Rattus norvegicus: one gene and its partners. Each later gene encodes a partner of the first gene's protein in a complex. Links are inferred from orthologs where the notes say so. Each region holds a gene or a part of one and is shown in the gene's direction. Other genes may lie near its edges. The genes, in order: Rbx1, Cul3, Klhl22, Kbtbd4 and Dyrk2.

The links.
Region 2: Rbx1 (region 1) and Cul3 share a complex: the UniProt entries of both Homo sapiens proteins name them as parts of the BCR(ARMC5) E3 ubiquitin ligase complex. The link is inferred for Rattus norvegicus from reciprocal best matches to the Homo sapiens genes RBX1 and CUL3.
Region 3: Rbx1 (region 1) and Klhl22 share a complex: the UniProt entries of both Homo sapiens proteins name them as parts of the BCR(KLHL22) E3 ubiquitin ligase complex. The link is inferred for Rattus norvegicus from reciprocal best matches to the Homo sapiens genes RBX1 and KLHL22.
Region 4: Rbx1 (region 1) and Kbtbd4 share a complex: the UniProt entries of both Homo sapiens proteins name them as parts of the BCR(KBTBD4) E3 ubiquitin ligase complex. The link is inferred for Rattus norvegicus from reciprocal best matches to the Homo sapiens genes RBX1 and KBTBD4.
Region 5: Rbx1 (region 1) and Dyrk2 share a complex: the UniProt entries of both Homo sapiens proteins name them as parts of the E3 ligase complex. The link is inferred for Rattus norvegicus from reciprocal best matches to the Homo sapiens genes RBX1 and DYRK2.

The regions. Positions count from the first base shown.
Region 1 is NC_086025.1:114,869,576-114,873,788, forward strand, and holds the start of Rbx1 (E3 ubiquitin-protein ligase RBX1), read left to right. Parts: upstream 1-1,403; 5' UTR 1,404-1,408; coding exon 1,409-1,486; intron 1,487-3,963; coding exon 3,964-4,042; intron 4,043-4,213. UniProt on the Homo sapiens protein: E3 ubiquitin ligase component of multiple cullin-RING-based E3 ubiquitin-protein ligase (CRLs) complexes which mediate the ubiquitination and subsequent proteasomal degradation of target proteins, including proteins involved in cell cycle progression, signal transduction, transcription and transcription-coupled nucleotide excision repair.
Region 2 is NC_086027.1:89,055,927-89,059,437, reverse strand, and holds part of Cul3 (cullin-3), read left to right. Parts: intron 1-266; coding exon 267-443; intron 444-1,512; coding exon 1,513-1,683; intron 1,684-2,134; coding exon 2,135-2,242; intron 2,243-3,511. UniProt on the Homo sapiens protein: Core component of multiple cullin-RING-based BCR (BTB-CUL3-RBX1) E3 ubiquitin-protein ligase complexes which mediate the ubiquitination and subsequent proteasomal degradation of target proteins.
Region 3 is NC_086029.1:96,698,008-96,701,518, reverse strand, and holds part of Klhl22 (kelch-like protein 22), read left to right. Parts: intron 1-1,806; coding exon 1,807-2,040; intron 2,041-3,511. UniProt on the Homo sapiens protein: Substrate-specific adapter of a BCR (BTB-CUL3-RBX1) E3 ubiquitin ligase complex required for chromosome alignment and localization of PLK1 at kinetochores.
Region 4 is NC_086021.1:97,338,158-97,342,405, forward strand, and holds the start of Kbtbd4 (kelch repeat and BTB domain-containing protein 4), read left to right. Parts: upstream 1-1,438; 5' UTR 1,439-1,463; coding exon of another isoform or gene 1,464-1,482; 5' UTR 1,483-1,580; intron 1,581-1,640; exon of another isoform or gene 1,641-1,748; coding exon of another isoform or gene 1,749-1,824; intron 1,825-2,371; coding exon of another isoform or gene 2,372-2,400; coding exon 2,401-2,989; intron 2,990-4,248. Other genes in the region: Ndufs3 (NADH dehydrogenase [ubiquinone] iron-sulfur protein 3, mitochondrial), read right to left, coding at 1,075-1,143, 1,254-1,317. UniProt on the Homo sapiens protein: Substrate-specific adapter of a BCR (BTB-CUL3-RBX1) E3 ubiquitin ligase complex which targets CoREST corepressor complex components RCOR1, KDM1A/LSD1 and HDAC2 for proteasomal degradation.
Region 5 is NC_086025.1:56,245,856-56,249,898, reverse strand, and holds the start of Dyrk2 (dual specificity tyrosine-phosphorylation-regulated kinase 2), read left to right. Parts: upstream 1-1,238; 5' UTR 1,239-1,640; coding exon 1,641-1,689; intron 1,690-2,110; coding exon 2,111-2,259; intron 2,260-4,043. UniProt on the Homo sapiens protein: Serine/threonine-protein kinase involved in the regulation of the mitotic cell cycle, cell proliferation, apoptosis, organization of the cytoskeleton and neurite outgrowth. Functions in part via its role in ubiquitin-dependent proteasomal protein degradation.

The DNA.
Region 1 (4,213 bases):
ACCTCTGGAAGAGCAGTTGGGTGCTCTTAACCGCTGAGCCATCTCTCTAGCCCCAATTGCTCAGATTTTAAGGACAGCCTGGGCTACAGAGTGAGGCCCTGTCTCAGAAATAATAATAATAAACAATAATAGTAAAACAAAAATTAAAAGACCAAGTAGCATGCTCAAGATAGTTGTTGAAGAATGGATAACTATGCCCTCAGTATCTTAATTAACTATGGGTTTCTAGCATCCCTTAGGGAGTCTATTGACACATAAATCAATGACGATTTTAGTGTGGGAGGTAGAACTTGGGCCAACACACACACTCCTTGCAGGCTGTAGCAAGTCTTCTTTGTGCAAGTTAAAACTGTGGTGGTGTTTCCGGATGTATTGCCCTGCTCAGCAAGGACATCAACAGCACACTGAATTGCACGCCAGTATTTCTTTCAAGTGGGCATTTCAGATAAAACGTCATTGTTGTCCTGTTGAGGGAACTAGAACACATAAGAAGTTCGAGGGTGATGTATTCTAGTCATACCTCTGCAAATTTAGGAGATAAAACAGTGGAGGGCTGGGCTAAACATGGAAGCATGACAAAAGATACAGGTTCTTAGCTCGGTGGTAATGACCGGTAAGAAAATCAGAATGCCTCACCCAAATTCAAGTTTGGCCACTACAAATGTACTAATTTAACTGTAGCACAAGTAGCAAAACTCGGATGGGAAATGGGGAGAAAGGAGGATGGCATCTCCCAGGCTCCTACGTGTTCTCCGTGTCTTTCTGGTGAGAAGGTGAAGGCAGAGCTGCAGAATGCCTGCTCTGTTTGTTCCTGGGCAGAACATTCAGGCCTCTCTCTCCCTATCAAATAATTTCCCAAACTGAAGTTGAGAACGCAGACCGTGCCCGGGCCTTGGAAAGCCGAGTCACAGGGCCCCCAAGCCGGCCACGGTCAGCAGAAGGCCGTTTTGAACGTTTTGGAGTTTCGGGTTTCCACAGACCAGCCCATGCCCTTTGCACCGCGGCCTTGGGGGCAGCGCTGTGGGTCTGGATCAGGTATAAATTCTGGGGCAGAAGGAGGAAGCAGCCGCCGCCCCAGAAGAAGGAGTCAGGCCACAGGGTTTCCCAGAAGGCGAGCAGTATTCAGACCTCAGGGACATTCCCACCAGTTGGCTCCCTTCGCTCGGCCCCGCCCGGCTCCGCCCGGCCCCGCCCGACCCCGCCTCAATCACTCCAGCCTCCTCCCCAGCTGAGAGCGACGGGGAACCTCCGCCTGCGCCTTTAAGGGGCGTGACCGCAGCCTCCGCCCCTTCTACCCGCACGCGCCAATAAGGGGAGGGGTGCGAGAGGAGGAGCCTGGCGAGAGGGCAGGCGGCGGAAAGTGAGCCGATGCGCAGGCGCAGTGGTCGCACGACAGTGTGTTTCCAAAATGGCGGCGGCGATGGATGTGGATACCCCCAGCGGCACCAACAGCGGCGCGGGCAAGAAGCGCTTTGAAGTTAAAAAGGTTGGGTCTCGCCAGCGCCTTCCTCAAGGAATCTAGGGAGGCGCGGATATGGCTGGCAGGCCCGAGGAAGAGCTAGGCGCGGGGGAAAGGGCTTCATTTCAGGGCGTTCCTGGGACCGGGTACCACTAAAGGAAGCCGGGGGGCGGGCCTAGGGTTGATCGGCATGATGGTGGCCCACTGTCTTGGCCATATTAGTTTCGCTGGGAAAGCTGTGGGTCCAATCGCAGAGCTGCTTACTGAAATACGCGAGGTTAACTTCGGTGCGGGAGCCAAGCGCTTAAGCTGTCACTGAAGTGACTGAGAGTTGGGGGAAGGACAGGGTGGGGTGGGTAGGATGGAGACTCGTGAAGAGACTGCGGCGGGTGGAGGATGGGGCTGTGCGGAGAAACCCGGGAACGTGCGATGACACCGCAGAAGAGCTCTGCCGGTGTTCTTGCTCCGCCCCTTCCTGGATCCTAGAATCTATTGACTCCGAGGGACCTGGTGTGGGCCCTCGATTGTATGGCGGCCTCCATTAGCCTTCTAAACCCACAGTCTCAAGTGTAAAGCTTGGTTCTTCCGAGACGTGTACTAGTTGTCACATAGCTTCTGCCACTCCAATGGTTCTCTAATGCCCGTGTACACTTCTAACACAAAATGGTAATTTAAAAAGTCTGGTGGGCTTTGTTTTAAAAGCAAGCCCAGAACTTGTGCCATTTAAGAAGGCGGAGTACTAATTGTTAATGACCTGGGAACACAAAAAATATGAAACGTCCTTTTGTATTCTATTCCCTTCATAGTTTTCTAGCACTTTAAGAGAAAAGTGCCCGTTCCTACCTAAGATTACATAAATCTGCTCAAAATGAAGATCTTGAAGTGGGGAAGGTGTTTTTGGTTTTTTGTTGGTTTGTTTGGGGTTTTTTTTCCTTTTTGTTTTTGTTTTTTTTTTTTTTGTATGTATTACTTTTGGAAAGAGTCGCTGAGAACACCTCCCCACCCCACTCTTTTTTTGTCATCTCATTGTGGCCACTGCTGCTCAGTTACGGCCTGCAGCCATATGGAAGAATAATAGAAATAATGTCGAATTTACTAGACTCGAATACTTGAATTTGAGAAGTCAAACCAAAGTAGTCCTTGAAAGGGGTGTCCTAGGGGTTGGGGATTTAGCTCAGTGGTAGAGCGCTTGTCTAGCAAGCGCAAGGCCCTGGGTTCGGTCCCCAGCTCCAGAAAAAAAGAAAAAAGAAAAAAAAAAAAGAAAGAAAGGGGTGTCCTGCCCAGTGTAAGTCTTGGATCAATTTACTAGAACTAGCAAAATAATAGTTTGGACATATGAACGTTGGGAACATCAGTTTCCTTGGTAAGAGGACAAGAAAATTGCACTGGATTGACTTGCTTGCAGTGCTGTGAGGTGTAAGTGATGACCTTGTTCTGTGTGCTGACACTGGGTAGGTAACTCACTATCCAGCTTATCCCACGATTATCCCCTTAGCGATTGATCCATTTATTATCGTAGTTCAGTCTGTTCACCTCTCTTCCTCCGAGTCCAAAACTGCGTGGAGAGCAAATACTTAGGCAGATTTTGAGTTCGACCACATCTGTCAGGAACAGCTCCACATTAGTTCAAGTTTGTACTTGAAGCTAAAATGGGTGTTCAAAAAATAGCTCTAATATTCCCACGTCGGTTTGGCTAGCTAAATTATTTTATGCTATAGACCAAAAAAAAAAAAATTGGCGCGGTGGGGCTTGCCTTCCTCTTTCCGCCATCTTGGCGCCTTTGGAAGCCCACTGGGAACAGGACTTCTAAAAAAAACAAGTATGTCTGGAAGGCTGTGGTGCAAGGCCATTTTTGCTGGCTACAAGCCAGGCCTCCTGAACCAAAGAGAGTACACGGCTCTTCTTAAAATTGAAGGCGTTTGGGGTTGGGGATTTAGCTCAGTGGTAGAGCGCTTGCCTAAGAAGCGCAAGGTCCTGGGTTCGGTCCCCAGCTCCGAAAAAAAAAAAAAAATTGAAGGCGTTTATGCCCGAGATGAAACTGAGTTCTACTTAGGCAAGAGGTGTGCTTATGTGTACAAAGCAAAAAACAATACAGTGACTCCTGGAGGCAAACCAAACAAAACCAGAGTGATCTGGGGAAAAGTAACTCGGGCCCATGGAAACAGTGGCGTGGTTCGTGCCAAATTCCAAAGCAACCTTCCTGCAAAGGCCATTGGACACAGAATCCGTGTGATGCTGTACCCATCCCAGATTTAAACTAATGGAGAGTAAATAAATAAAAGTAAAAAAAAAAAAAAATTAAAAGTACCCATGTTCAGGAATGAGGAAGTGTACACGTGGTCTGCTGTTACCCTCTGATGTTGTACAAATAATGCAATCCAAAAATCATTCTTTCTTTGCTAGGCCCTATGGCCAGGGAGTTGGTAACTGAAGCCGCAGCTGAAATCCTAACGAGTCTGTTATGTTACCCAGAAAATGCATTGTTTCCCCTCTTCTCCTTGCAGTGGAATGCAGTAGCCCTCTGGGCCTGGGATATTGTGGTTGATAACTGTGCCATCTGCAGGAACCACATTATGGATCTTTGTAAGTAACTCGGGGCGGGTGGGAAGGCGTTGAGGAAGAGAGAAATGGCGGTCATCCTCGTGTGCCCAATTGTCTTCTTTACCAGTGAATACAAAGCAGGGTCAGAACCCGTAGGTACTTGAGTGTTTGAAGTAGATTGCATGTTGTTATTTTTGGAGACAGGGTTCTCTG
Region 2 (3,511 bases), on another chromosome or scaffold:
ATACGGGTTTCAGGGATCCAAAAAGTACATTTACCTGCTGAGCCATCTCTTGGACCCTGTTGTATTCCTGATATATTATACATGCGAAAGATAGAACATTCCATTACTAACACTTGAGCATATATACAGATTGGAAAATAATAATAGTCTGTAAAATTATCTCCAGACACATAATTACCAACAATGTTAGGGTAAGGCTAGATCATAAGTATTTTATTTACAAGAACATTTTTATAATGTTTTCCAAATTTGTTTTTATTTGGAAGGGCTTATTGGATCTGAAGAGTAGGTTTGATCGCTTCCTTCAAGAATCCTTCAATAATGACCGACTCTTTAAACAGACTATTGCTGGGGACTTTGAGTATTTCTTAAACCTCAACTCCAGGTCTCCTGAATACCTCTCATTATTTATTGATGATAAGCTGAAAAAGGGAGTCAAAGGGGTAAGTAGTAATGCATCTAAAGTGCAGTAGATTTTCCTCAGCAATTTAAAGTTCGGAAATGAATGTAAGGTATTTTACAGATAAAAATGTAAAAAGAGGGCAGGCCTCTTTGCTGCACTTATGTGCAGGTCTTGAGACACTCCTTTTAAACGTCTTAGATATGCTTAAAGATTGCTTGACATTTCACATATTCATTCTTATATAATTGTCATTTTAAAAAATACCCCCAAAAGAAAAAGCACAAACATCACACCTACAGGTTTTAAAATGATTGCCTTTATAGCTGAAAATTAGTGAGAGGAATGACAAATTGGAGAACTCGCTGGCAGTTACAGATTGTCACTGTTTTTATCTGGTTCTGGGTATAGAACATCAAGAAGGGCTTGGTTTTGAGGAATGGAAAAGGTGTACTGAATTCTGAAATAACTTTTGAAAGTTCTACACACTGAAGCTCAATTTTTAGTTTTATCTCTGGGACCTTGGGAGCTCACTTAGAACCGTAGAAAAATCAAAATAAGCTATTTTGATTGTGTGTGGTCTTTTAAAACCTCAACTTAGAGATTTCGAGACAGGAGAAAAGCAGCAAAAGGCTGCAGGTTACAGAGGCAGCTGAGTGAGAAACAAATCACTGACTGCCAAGCAATAATGTCTAGTTTAATCTCTCATTTCTAAAATCACAAGCATACTACAGTCTTCTATGCTATTTTCTTTCCTTTATTTAAAAGATGAAGTAAAGACTGTATTCTTTGGATTTAACAAAAACCCATTTGTTTGTCAGTTTTGAGTTTTTTAATGAATTTAAAAACAAAACAAAACTCTTGGGGCTATGCAAGTTCCTGCAGAAAGTTTTACTCTTTCCCTCGTCAATCAATTTATCTGTTTTTGGTTATCCTTTACTTAGCTCAGTCCTGTAGTAGTGACTGTCCCATATGAGTGGCAGCACTCCATTCTTTCAGTGCAGTAGAGAGGACAACAGTGTGTGGAGTAGGGCACAGTCCCAGATCACATTCATTCCCTTAACCAATTATTGTGGTTTTAAAACGGAACTATCTTTTGATTAATTTTTCAGCTAACAGAACAGGAAGTAGAAACGATATTGGATAAGGCAATGGTCCTTTTTAGGTTTATGCAAGAAAAAGATGTATTTGAACGTTACTATAAACAACATCTGGCAAGAAGACTGCTCACAAATAAAAGTGTTTCTGATGACTCTGAAAAAAATATGATTTCTAAATTAAAGGTAAGCTTTATTTAAGATGAATGCAGTATTCCCAAATGATGTTGACTCACTATGCTGGTGTTCACCCACACTGTTGTAGCCATTTTGAGCAGGGCATAGGCTTTGTTTCCATGTGTTAAAGGTACAGAGCATCAAAGTTGTGTAGCACTGTCGCATGGACTAGTTTCTAAACTGATCTGTGTCATCGTCACTTGAGATGTCTGTAGGACATTTCAGTATACTCTACTCTCCCTTGAGTATGGTGGAATCTGGAGGAGCCTAGAAATTATGTTTTAAACTAAAATCCTTAAGTTATTTTTAAACATGCTAAGGTTTAGTAGCCACAGACTCAGAGCAACCACTAGAAAGACTTTCAGAAGAATAATTAGAGATGGCAATAACATAAAAGACTTTCTACACTTTCTCACGGGAAAGTTTGCTATTTGTACGTATTTGTGATCTTTTTCCATAGACTGAGTGTGGATGTCAATTCACATCGAAACTGGAAGGAATGTTTAGGGATATGAGCATCTCAAACACAACTATGGATGAGTTCAGGCAACATCTACAGGCAACGGGGGTAAGAATCTGCATTACTTTTTTAAGTTAATTAATTTATTTACTTTATGACCTCAGTTTCAACTCCCTCCTTTCCTCCCAGTCCTCTCCCATCTACTCCTTAGGTGAGCCCTCCCATGACTGTCAACCAGCCTTGGCATATTAAGTTGCAATAAGACTAGGTGCATCTTCTAGATGAGGCAACACAATAGGGGGAAAGGGTCCCAAAGGCTGGCAGCAGAATCAAGGACAGGCCCTGCTCCTGCTGTTAGGCATCCACAGAAAGACTAAGGAAGTTACACAACTGGAACATTTGCAGAGGGCCTAGGTTGGTCAGTCCCATGTAGACTCTTCCAGCAATTCAGTCTATTGAGCCTCTGTGGGCCCAGGTTAGTTGGTTTGTAGGTTTTCTTGTGTCCTTAACCTCTTTGGCTCCTACAACGTCCTGCCCCTCTTCCACAGGATTCCCCAAGCTCCACTTAATGTTTGGCACTGGGTCTGTCTCCATCAGTTTCCATCAGTTGCTGGGTGAAGTCTCTCTGATGACAGTTATGCTAGGCTCCTACTTGCGAGTATAGCAGAATATTATTAATAGTGTCAGGGGTGGGATTCCTCTCATGGCATGTGTCTCAGATGCTGGACCAATCATTGGTTGGGTACTTCCTCAGTTTCTGTTCCATCTTCACCTCTGAACACAAATTGTAGACCAAAAGTTTTTGTGTCTGGATTGTTGTGTACCAAAGATGGCTGGTTCAGGCTCCATATCCTCCTGGGAGTTTTATTGCCCTGTTTCTAGCTTGTCTCAGCAATGTGACCTCCATGCCAGGTGTCTTTCCTAGTACTCCTGTCTTCCTCACCACCTAATCCCTCCTGTTCCCATCCCCTTCCCTGTCTAGCCCCCTCCCCTCTGTCCATCCATGATGTCGATTCTAATTAGTGAGGTTGACAAGTCCCCTGCTTATTACTTACCTTCTTTGGGCCTATGATTGTAACATAGTTATTTTTTACCTTACACTAATGTCTACTTATAAGTGAGTATATTCTTGGTCTAGGTTACCCCACTCAAGATGATCTTTTCTAGTTCCATCCATTTACCTGTAAATTTCTTAACAGCTGAGTAGTATTCCATTAACATTGTGTAAATGTACCACATTTTCTTTATCCATTCTTCAGTTGAGGGACATTAAATTATTTCCACTTTCTGTAAAGCTGCTATGAATATAGTTGAGCAAGTGTCCTGTGGTAGAGTGGGGCATCTTTTGTGTATATACTCAGGAGTGCTGTGGCTGGG
Region 3 (3,511 bases), on another chromosome or scaffold:
ATTTAGAGAAACTTTTGGAAGGAAGCAGGGCACCCTTTAATCTAAAAATTATTAATTGGAAATAAAAATTAAGCTCTGCAGCCTACTACGTATGCTGGGAGAAGATGCAGACTCTGTGCCTGCTCTGCTGCTGTGTGTTTGTGCTTCTCCAGCTCACACACAGTAACCAGTCCTATGACGCTACCATGCAGTCTCCAGGACCCTGCAGAGCTCCCTTCTCCTCACACGATCAGAGCCTTCTGTTGGCCATTGGCTTTGAGTCAGTAAGACTTGGAGGAGCCAGTGAGTGCACATATGGTTAGATGGGTAGCCCAGAAGGACAGAGCTGCCAAAGTAGGGGCAGAAAATCGTTGAGCATTGCAGGCTAGTGTCTCCTTATACACACCATCACTGGAGAGGGGGTGTTCTTTGTATAGCTGTCCTTTATGATACAAACTAGGTTAGTTTTAGGATCCCCACCCTCAAGGATAATGAAATCTTAACAGTATTTGTGTAAAGCCTATATATCCAAGCTTCAGAGGGAGAGGCAGGAAGATAAAACGTTCAGGGCCATCCTGGGCTAAGGACTGTGAAGCCAGTCCTTTTCTGAAAGCTAAAAAAAAACCAAGTAGGGGTTGTTGGTATGTTGCTATAGAGTGAGTTCCAAGACAGCTAGAACTACACAGTGAGACTGTCTCAAAAATCACCAAAAGTGGGGTGGGAGCTGAGAGAGGAGGGTTTAGTGTTGGGATGTAATTTATGAGAGAGGGGTGGAGGAAGGAGGGAGAGAGGGAAGGGACGGAGGGACGGACACTGGGAATGTAGACCAGTTGGTAGAGTCTTGGCTAACATGCATGAAACCCTGAGTTCATTCCTCAGCATCAGATAACCCTGGTGTCACACACACACACACACACACACACACACACACACATACACACATACACACACACCCCCCTGTGATGTGCCTAATATTGGGAGATGGAGGAGGGAGATCAGAGGCGCAGGACCATCCTTGGCTGCATAGCAGGTTCTAGGTCACCCTGGGAGTCAGGAGAGTCTGTCTCCAAAAACAGCAGCAACAAAAGTATTAAGAAGAATGCTAGCCTCAGTGGTAGGCCATTTGCAAGTCTGTGTGTTCGGTCATCCTGTATTATAATACATGGTACAGTAGACGTTTATGTAAATTGTTCTATACAGAAGACTGAACCTTCCTTGGCATGTGGTTAGTACAGATCCAGCATATTGATTTGAGTCTGTCTGTCTGTCTGTCTATATTTTTTTCTTTCTTTCTCTTTTTTTTTTTTTTGGATTTGAGTATTTTTTATCCTAGTTTTAGTTGAACACATGGATATGGAGAGCCAATCACATTTGATGCCTTGTTTCAGTCTTTTCTTCCCTACAGCCTACTTCCTGTGTGTGGGAACTATCTGCAGACAGATAGCTGGTAGAAAGTTGAAGCCACCAAGAGCAGGTGTGTTTCTCTGGCAACTTGGAAGTGAGCCTTGACTTTCTTGTTCCCTGTCCAGATGTTTCCTTTAGAGGCAAAGAAACACAAAGATTACATTTAGTTTCTGGGTCTGTGGATAACGTGCCCTGTTGGAAAGAGGCTAGGGGTCAACAAGTAGGGCAGTGTATTCAGTGAGAAGCCCATGCCCTCTCCAGCACGGAATGGCAGGCACGTCAGCTGTGGTTGGCCTCGACTGCTGTGTTATCAGGCAGATGCAGAAGGGTGGCCGTAGCCTCAGTAGAGACTACCTGACCAGCTTCCTCACAGCCTTCTTGCCCCTCTTTACCTTTCCTGGTTCTCTTGGTGACTCCAAACAGGTATATGCCCATGCAGGCACCACGCTGCAAGGGAAGATGTACATCACCTGTGGTCGCAGAGGAGAGGACTACCTGAAAGAGACACACTGCTATGACCCAGGAAGCAACACGTGGCACACTCTAGCCGATGGGCCTGTTCGACGCGCCTGGCACGGCATGGCTGCGCTCCTTGACAAGCTGTTTGTGATTGGAGGCAGCAACAATGATGCCGGCTACAGGAGAGATGTGCACCAGGTGAGCAGGGCCCAGGCCACCCACTTGAGAATGAGCAGAAGTCCAGGGAGTTCCCCGGTCCCCTCTGATTCCATGCATGCATAGCTTCCCCACTATGTGTGTCCTTCATGAGAAGGACATGTGCTAGATTCATTGAACCCATACTAACATAGCCTGAGGACTCATAATGTTGCACATTCCATAGGATGCATACATATGCCCTCCATAGGAGTTTCCCTGGTGCCTTTAGTTGTTATGTTTGCATTAAAAAGCCAGTATACCCAAACCCATATTGTAGACCCTACCAGAATAGAGAAGAATGAGAAGAACTCGTACCCTCTACTTGTATTATTGGTTCTCAGTCCGTCCGTGACTTGCTCATAGCTATTCATAGTCAGAGAGCATCCCAAGCCAAGTGTGGTAGTCCATTCCTGTAACTCTAGCACTCAAAGTCTGAGGCTGGAGGATTGCAAATTTGAGACTAGACTAGGCTACGCAGTGAAATGAAATTAAACAGAATATGCTTTTCTCACCAGCATTTGTCCCTACCTTCCTCCAATTTAACATTTTGCTTCCCCCACTCCACCCCACCCCCACCTGCACGTACACGTGAATTAGAGAAGCTTTCTACTACAGAGTTAATCTACAAATGTCTTTTTACTTTTTATTTGGAGGTGGGGCTTCAGTAAGTTGCCCAGGCTGGCCTTGAACTCACTTTGTAGCCTAGTCAGAGTTCTTTAATCTGGCAATCCTTCATGCTCGTTAGCTGGAAATGCAGGTTCGTGCCAGTGGGCCAGCTTCCTAACTCTGCCTGCCCATGCCCCACTCCGTAGCTCAGCAGTGCTTTGTTTAGGGTCTGAGCTTTACTCCCATTACCTTATGAGGGACACTGGCTCTGAAGAGCTCGTCAGGGACTTTGGATTCTTCCAAGTTCAAGAATTTTAGACCAGACCCCAGACCTTTGGTTTGGAAGGACTGAGAGTGGGCCTGGGTCACCTGGATTGACATTTCCTCCCATGGTGAGGGAGTGACCTGGTGTATAATGTCCTCATTGTTTCTACCGCTGATCCCCGAAGCCTAAGTAACTCGAGTCTCTTCCCATAGTCCTAAGGCCAGCAGGTTCATCTTCAAGCAGCAAGGGCGGGTGGCCCGTCTTCCTATCCCTTCTGTATGCCTCTCTCTTTCTTATTTGGCTACTTACATAATTAAAGCTGTTTCTCCATTCATGATAGGATTGTCTGTTTATAAACTTATAATCAGCTGAAAACAGCCTAGCTCAGATGTACATGTAACCAGGCCGCGATCATAGCTAAGTCCATACAGTACTTTTACATAAGCATAGGACCAGTCTGATTCAGCACACATAAAAGCTGAGCACAGTGATACCTGCTTGTGACCCTAGTACTTGGACAGGCACCTGGGGTTTGCTGGCTAACCCCACCCAAATGTGGAGCCCAGGTCTCAGTGACAGATCCTGTCTCCAAAAAAAAAA
Region 4 (4,248 bases), on another chromosome or scaffold:
CATACACTTTTGTTAATGTAGTGGGTAATCTTTGCTTCTTTTCTACACTGTTCCTCAGCTGTTCCTCACTTCTTGTACTCATGACAACAATGTAACAGTGTCAGCTCTCCTATCAGACTCGGAGCTCTTTAAGGATGGGAACCAGACTTCTGTTTCTTGGTATTTGTTTAGACCAAGTTCTTTGTCAAAGAACTTCAGCGCTGAAGAACCCTGATTCACTCACTGCCCACACTCCATTCCCAGTCACTTTGTGTAATAGATGTCCAGAAATGAAAAAAAGCCAGGTTTTCCATTTACCCGTGTGATTCTGTTGACTGAACATAAAATCACCACATGGTCATTCAAGTACTTGAGCACCCACACATCACAGAATCAAGAATTAAGTATTGGGCTGGAGAGATGGCTCAGTGGTTAAGAGCACTGACTGCTCTTCCAGAGGTCCTGAGTTCAATTCCCAGCAACCACATGGTGGCTCACCTCTTCTGGTGTGTCTGAAGACAGCTACAGTGTACTTATATATAATAAATAAATAAATCTTTAAAAAAAAAGAATTAAGTATTTTCTGCACTTGGAAACAGGCAGACCTGCTTTGTCGTTCACTGGCACTATAACTGAATAATTTAATTATTTTGACCGCTTCATGATTTATACATCTATATGGACAGTAAAATATGATGCATCTCATGGTTCTCATGAAGTCCAAAGGAAACCATTCACTATACGGCTTAAATCTTTAAGGTGTCTAGTAAATACTAAATTGATGTGAGCTACTATTATTCTGGTCTCTGAGTATCAAAAGTTTTGTTACTTGCTGTCAAAGACAATTTAACCAGAGGGAAAAAATAGAAGATTGTGAAAACGAGCAAAGGGCGATCAAGATCAGAAGGGAACAAATATCTAGGGCACAGGAAGTACTCGTTTCTAACAGCAAGGTGGAGACCATAGCAATCTCCAAGGGCAAGCAGAGATTTGCCAGAAGGGAAGGACATTCCAGGGCAAGGACAAACATCTGGCAGAAACAATGGAAGACCCCTGCTAACGTTGAAGAGAAGAGCGCTATCCGCACATACTCACGGCGCTTGTCAGCCGCCGCGCTCTCCCTTCTCACACGCTGCTGCAACAGCACTGAGGGTCGCCCAGCCCCTGCACAGGAAGATAAAAGGCACAAAGGCGCGGGTGAGACCCGAGGAGGTCTATGTGCAAGGTGTGCCTCTGCCGCTGCCCGTGGTCTCGGCCTGCTGTTCTTTGCTCACCCCTGGCTACGGAAGCAGCCCCCAAGAGCCCACGGCACCAGACCCTGGCTGCAGCAGACGCCATGTTCCTTAGGGTGCCGACTAAGTAGCCGGAAAACACACACAGGCCACGGAGCCTCAAGGGCACGGACCGGAAGTGGAAATGTGCAATGAATCTTCTTCCGGGCGGACACGGGGCGGGAAGCAGAGGTTCCGGATCTGAACATTGGCATGAAAGGAGGTAACGCAGGTAAGAAAGACCCGCAGGTGGGGAAACCGTGAGGTTCTACGTAGCCCTATTTTGGTACGGCGGAGGCCGAAGAGAAGAAGACGCAAAGAATCGGACGGGTGAGAGAAAGGGAAAGGGTGGGCGTTCTGGGTTCTAAGTTCTACACCGCTCTCTGGCTCCTGAGCTAAGCTTTTAATGGGGGGCGGGGGTGGGGGAGTCGATGGACGGTTTCCTTGGAGACCGTTTCCTAGGCGACTCTAGGTGGCGCGGTCAGATTGCACAGGGTTATGGACTTCCTTGTGCCCCCGGCCGGGGACGGCTGGGCTCTCTCAGGCTTCTTTAAGAACTCATTGGAGCGAGTAGGTAAGTAAGAAACAGCAGCTTTGGAAAGAGTAAAAGTGGAAGTAATGTATGTCCAAGCCCAGGCCTCAATATCGGAGGGTCTGCATTCTTATGTCCAAGCAAAGAGGGAATCTAACCACAATACCTGGATTTCTTATTTCATTTACTTCCTCTTTTTTTTTTTTTTTTGGTCTAATTATGCTTCTCCTGAGTCTCATTAGTTGTATATCCAAATTATTTGGTTTTGAGATCATAGGCTTCCTCCTTCGTCTTTTACATGGGTTGACCTAAGTCCCAAGTCTTTTGTTACATCATCATCAGGAATATCCGATTTTACCTTAAGGAAAAACAACAGAGTTGGAACTTTAATTGAATTCACAGGAGGAGAGGCCCCACTGCAGGAAAACTGCAGGAATGTCATAGGCCATCTTGGCAGGGCCAGGAATAAGGGCCAGTCTGTACACACTTTGCTCCAATGCCTCCCTTCTCCTTATCCTGAGTTGGACATCTGGATTCATGGACTGTGTCTGTGAATTGCCCAAATACTTAGGGTGGTATTGCTTTGCAGATAGTTGGCAGAAAGAGAAGTTGGCTACCATGGAGTCACCAGAGGAGCCTGGAGCATCCATGGATGAAAACTACTTTGTGAACTATACTTTCAAAGACCGGTCTCACTCAGGCCGAGTGGCTCAGGGCATTATGAAACTGTGTTTAGAGGAGGAGCTCTTTGCTGATGTCACCATTTCAGTGGAAGGCCGAGAGTTTCAGCTCCACCGGCTGGTCCTGTCAGCTCAGAGCTGCTTCTTCCGATCCATGTTCACATCTAACCTGAAGGAAGCTCACAACCGGGTAATTGTGCTGCAAGATGTCAGTGAGTCTGTGTTCCAGCTCCTGGTTGATTATATATACCATGGGACTGTGAAACTTCGGGCTGATGAGCTGCAGGAGATTTATGAGGTGTCAGACATGTATCAGCTGACATCTCTCTTTGAGGAATGTTCCCGGTTTTTGGCACGCACAGTCCAAGTGGGAAACTGCCTTCAGGTGATGTGGCTTGCAGATAGGCACAGTGACCCCGAGCTCTACACTGCTGCCAAGCACTGTGCCAAGACCCACCTGGCCCAGCTGCAGAGCACAGAGGAGTTTCTCCACTTGCCCCACCATCTACTCACTGATATCATCTCAGGTAAGTTCAAGGAGGGGCTTAGCACACCCAGCTATGCCAGAGTGATGTTCAGTGGATGTTCCGGTTCGGGAGAACCCCAACTTTATGTAACTAACTGTTGTTTACATTATATTTCCCTTCCTGGTAGGGATTTTTTTTCTTTTCTTTTCTTTTTTTTTTTTTTTTTTTTGGGAGCTGGGGACCGAACCCAGGGCTTGCGCTTGCTAGGCAAGCGCTCTACCACTGAGCTAAATCCCCAACCCGCGCTGGTAGGGATTTTAGAGTGAGGTTGAGTGTTGAGAATCAGTGTAGCTACTGTCAGAGACAGGGTGCTTTACAGTAACTAAAGACTAAAATCTGCATCACTTTTCCACAAAAGGAATCAGTGCCTGATGTTCTCATCTGCCCTGTACCTTGAAAGCCTACAGGACTAATTCTTAAATAAACTGATGAAGATGGTGATGAATCAATATATCTAAAATAGCCACATGTGGTGGCCATGCCTTTAATCCCCAGCACTCAGGACCCAGAGTCAGAGGCAAGCAGATACCGGTGAGTTCCAGTACAGCCTGGTCTACAAAGTGAGTTATAGGACAGCCAGGGCTACACAACAAAACCCTGACTCAAAAAACAAAAAACAAAAAATGTAAAATAAGAAACATTTGGGTAATAATCTTAGGTAACAAGTGAGGTGGCACCGTATTTTAGATGTGAACTCCATAGCCCGATGAGTGACTACTGTGACATATTGTGTCATCGCTTCTCTTAAAAAGCCAGGCAGGGCTAGTGGTATGACTCAGTGGTAGAGTTGGGGTACATGGAACTCTGGGTCTAGTCTGAGCACTGCAGCATGGTAGTCCTGGGGCAATTTCAGATTAACGTCATATTTACGTGTGCATAAGCAGATACATATAATGGTGGTCTAATAAAATGGTTCAGGCCTCTTTTCTGAGACAGTGTCTCTTTATATAGTCCTGCCTGTGTGCATGTAACTCACTATGTAGACCAGGCTGGCCTTAAACTCACAGAAATAAGCCTGCCTCTGCCTCTGCCCTCAAGTGCTAGGATTAGAGGCATGCTCTACTACAGCCAGCTGTGGTTCCCCTTGGACCCCCTTTGAGATTGCCATTGATGAGACTGCAGAGATGGCTTGTTGCTCTTGCAATTGTTATTCTTACAGAGGACCATGGTTCAGTTCCCATCAGGAACGCCATCTTCTGACCATCGTGGATACCAGACATACATGTGGTACACAGCCATGTGCGGACAAAGCATACACA
Region 5 (4,043 bases), about 59 Mb from region 1:
TGTACAACTCTGCAGGAGGTAGCTCCCTCTAGACTGAAGTCTGCTCTAGTTGGGGCCAGCACTCTGGGACTTGGAGAAGACACAAGGAGCAGGGCAATAAGGGATGGACACAGGACTCCAGGAGCAGTTCAGAAACTAGGCACCTCCCAGGAAGGAAGTGCATGCCTGGACGCGGTCCAACTTTCTTCCCTATCTGCTGGGGATTTTTCGAGCTTTCGCTCCACACCTGACTGTTCAAGTGGACAAAGGTGCCCAAGTGTGCCACGCACGACAAAGCATAGGTGTGCGACAGAGAAACAAATGCTGTTCTTTCTGGGAAGCAGAGGCTGTAGCCCACGAATGAATAGGGCAGGGAAATTCTCCACGTGTCTGGGAAGGGAAAGAAAAAAAGAATCTTTTCCTCCGAGGATGTGGGGAATCAGAGGTGTCGCCCCAGTGCAGCAGAGAGCTGAAAGGAAGGTGTGTCTGTCTCAGTGGCCGCGCTGGGGAAAGGCTTCGAGTTGTAAGGAAATGGGAGGCGTCTCTGATGTTTATTTTTGCCTAGCAACCCACAGCCAACTGCTACCTCAGCTGCGGTCCACAGGCGCCTGTCTGCCTCCCCTTGTCCTAGAGACTGGAGGGCAGCGGTCACTCGGTGTCAGTGAATCAGGGAGGGCGTGCGTGGCCGAGATGGAAGTGGAAGGGCAGCCCCTTCCTTCGTCCATGCTTGGGTCACCAAGCTCAGCCGCAGTCCCTCCTCGGGGCCTGACTTTCCGAGGTGACCCTCATACAACTAAGTTCTCTCCATGATAAAACTGGGGAGAGGGGTTGGCTGGGCCACTGGGACAGGGACAGGGGCCGGGGCTGGGGGGCCGCAGTATTGTCTGGGAGCAGCCATTAGGGGCGGTGTTTAGGGGCGTGATGGGAGAGGGAGGGGTCTCTGCAGCAATTTCGGGAGGAGGCCGGCCGCGGTAGGTTGCGCGGTAGGGCAGGGAGGGGCGTCGCAGGGGCGAGGGGGACACGGGGAGAGGGCAGATGGCCGCAGGGGAGGCGCAGGGCGAGCCCGAGCCGCAGTTTTCCTGGGAGCGGAGGACGGCTCTGCGGAAGATCGGAGAGGGTGGGACTCCCGGGGTGGCGGGTGGGGGTGGGGTGGCCGCCAGCCTGTGTGGCTGGGGCCGGGGGAGTCCGGGGCGGGGCCTCAGCGGGGGCGGGGCTGGCCTTCTCGGGCGCGAGCCGCGGGGGCGAGCGTGTGTGCGAGTGTGCGCGAACGCGCGCAGGCCCGGGAGGAGGCTCCCGAGCGAGTGGGTCCCGGCGGCCGCAGCCCGCTCCCCGCGGCCCCGATGTGAGGGAGTCGGGGAGGCCAGCGGTGCGGCAGGGGAGGGCGAGGCATGTGCACGGGCCGGGGGGTACAGCAGCCGCCCGAGGACGAGGGGGACGGCGGAGGCGAGGAGGAGAGCGGGGGGCTCGCGGCGGCGGGTCCGGGCCGAGGGGATGCAGTGGACTGCGTGTGTCTGGCTGTAGCGGGAGAGAGGAAGCGACGAGGCGCGGGGGACCCGCGTGAGGGGCGACCAGGAGGCGGCGGCGGCGGCGGCGGCGGCGAGGAGTAGCGGCGGGACCGGCGGCGAGGGCAGCACTGCCATGCACGTTCCTCTCCCGCGGCCATGTTAACCAGGAAACCTTCGGCCGCCGCTCCCGCCGCCTACCCGACCGGTAAGGGCCCCGGGACCCTGTCGGCGGCACGGGGCGCGGGCTGCGCGTGTTGGTGCCCCGGGATCCCTGAACCCGGCGGGTTGAGCGAGGGGCATCCGGAGCGCGACCCCGCCGCAGCGCCCTCTCGGTGGCCCGCCCTCCCCTCCCCCGGCCCGGCGACGTGGGCTCCGGAGCTCTGGCCCAGCGCTGCTCCCCTCCGGGTCGCGAACTTAACTTTGCAGCTGGCGGGTGCGCGCCGGGGAGCCGCGTCCCGACCCCCCTCCTTTCCCGCACGCCGCCGGCTTTTCCCGGGCCGGGTGTCTCCTTCCATCTTCTCCCTGGAAGAGGGGGTTCTCTGCCCACCGGGGCGGGGGCGGGGGTCTGGGTAGCTCTCTTTCCCCACCCTGACCCTCTTTTGTCTCCTCCCGCGCGTGGCTCCCAGGCCGAGGAGGGGACACCGCCGTTCGCCAGCTTCAGGCTTCCCCGGGGATCGGCGCGGGGGCTCCCCGAAGCGGAGTGGGGACCGGCCCACCCTCCCCCATCGCCCTGCCGCCTCTCCGGGCCAGCAACGCTACCACTACATCCCACACGGTGAGACCTGGCTTTGGGAGGGCGCCGGGCAGACCCCTGGCTTGTTGGGTTCTTGCTGTGGGAAGAGAGGGCCGAATCTCCACGCCCCTGGCAGGGGCCTGTCCTCGACGCCGCCCTCTGTAACTTGGGCGAGCCCCGAGCTGCTGCCACAAAAGAGATTCGTGGCGTGGGCCCCTCGCTTCCCTCTGAAGCTCGCCCACACCAGAGCTCCTTTTCCTGGGAACTTCCTCCTTGCGCCCCCTCCCCCCTTTTTTCATCTGTGCTTCCTAGAGCTCCCTTCCCCGGCCGGTAAACATCTATTCCCAACCCCAGGGGTAGTGGATATTTATAGAAACGTATGTGTTAGGGGACAGCTAGGCTACCCTGCCCGGAAAATCGATCCCCCAAAGAGCCTCAGAGGCCTGGCTGCAGCCAGCAGGGAGCACCCGCCAATTGTCCCCCGCGTGTGTAAGCATGTTTTATGAGAGCTACAGGTTTGAGCACAGCAGAAATTGTAATTAACATTAACAAAAATAAGAGCTACAGCAGTAGTCAAAACAAAACAACCACCACTGTAGGATTCTCAGCGTGGATATTGACTCAAAAGGAAAGGGCCGGCTTTGCTTTGTAGGTGGCAAGGGAAGGGCACCTGACAAGGGCTGTGCAGTCCCTTGAGGCCCTGGGGAGTGCGGAGCCTGGGACTGGTGGCTGCAGAGACTGGGGAGCTGGGCTGACTTCAGCTTGTACCTTTCCTCAGCCCCTAGCGATGGCCTTTGGATGGTGACCATGAGCCTAAAGGAGGTGTGCGCTTGCAGGTGATGGTTTTAAAGATCTCTTTCCCAAAGGCTCTCTGGGAATGTGAGCAACCTAGGATGGTTTCTGTGTGAGGTTGCCTGCAGGATGTAGGATTTTGTGGCTAAGTGAAAGTTGCTTGAAAGTACCCACCCATGGTTTGTGGCCTGCAGGGAGCATCTCTGGGGGGAAGAAGGGGAGTCATTTGTGACTGAAACTTGTTTATCACGGGAGATGAGACCGACGTTAGCTGTGCTGGAGGCGTACAAGAGAGGTAGACAATTTCATAGACATGTTTTGTTATTCTCTGTTTTTCTCGGTGAGTCTATGCTAGGAGCTGGGGATTCATTACACAGGGATGAACTCATCTGGGTCGTACTATCTCGCTGGGAAAGAGAGCCTGCAGGTAGTGGGGATGTGACTGCCACAAGGGCATCCTAGAAAGGAGTCATCGTTGGTTTTGGAGGTTTGGCTTTTCTGTGGTTTTGGCTGGTTTAGAATCATCTGACAGTTTGGAAAACCCAGCGTCCATTTCCCCCCCATGTGTTGGTGTGATCGTGTTACATGTTGTGAACTGGACAAGGAATAACTCAATTTGCATTCGATTTCCAAGTTTTGTTAAGGATGGCCTTTGCCTGATCAGAACTTCTTTGCAACTGAAATATGTCATGAAATTGGGAGAGGGGAAAACTGCCACAAGTGGAAAGCCTGTGTGGCACCGGAAAGGAAAAGGCATGAAGGTGATTTCGGCATAGATGCCTGTGCTGTGCTGTGGCCTGTGTGTGACATGGCTGTTATACACCGAAGGGTAAATTTCAGTTGCTCCGCATCCTTGGACGCTCCGTTTTGAAAGTGAAGCTTTATGTTTCAAGTGTTTTGATGTGGTTCGTAGGACTCTACAGGTTTCCCGGCTCAGGGGCGTTGAGGAACACAGAGTTTATCCGGCTCCTGTGCATGTTTGCATGGGAATGAAGACTCCACAAGTTAACTGAGCTGTCAGGAGTCCGTGGACA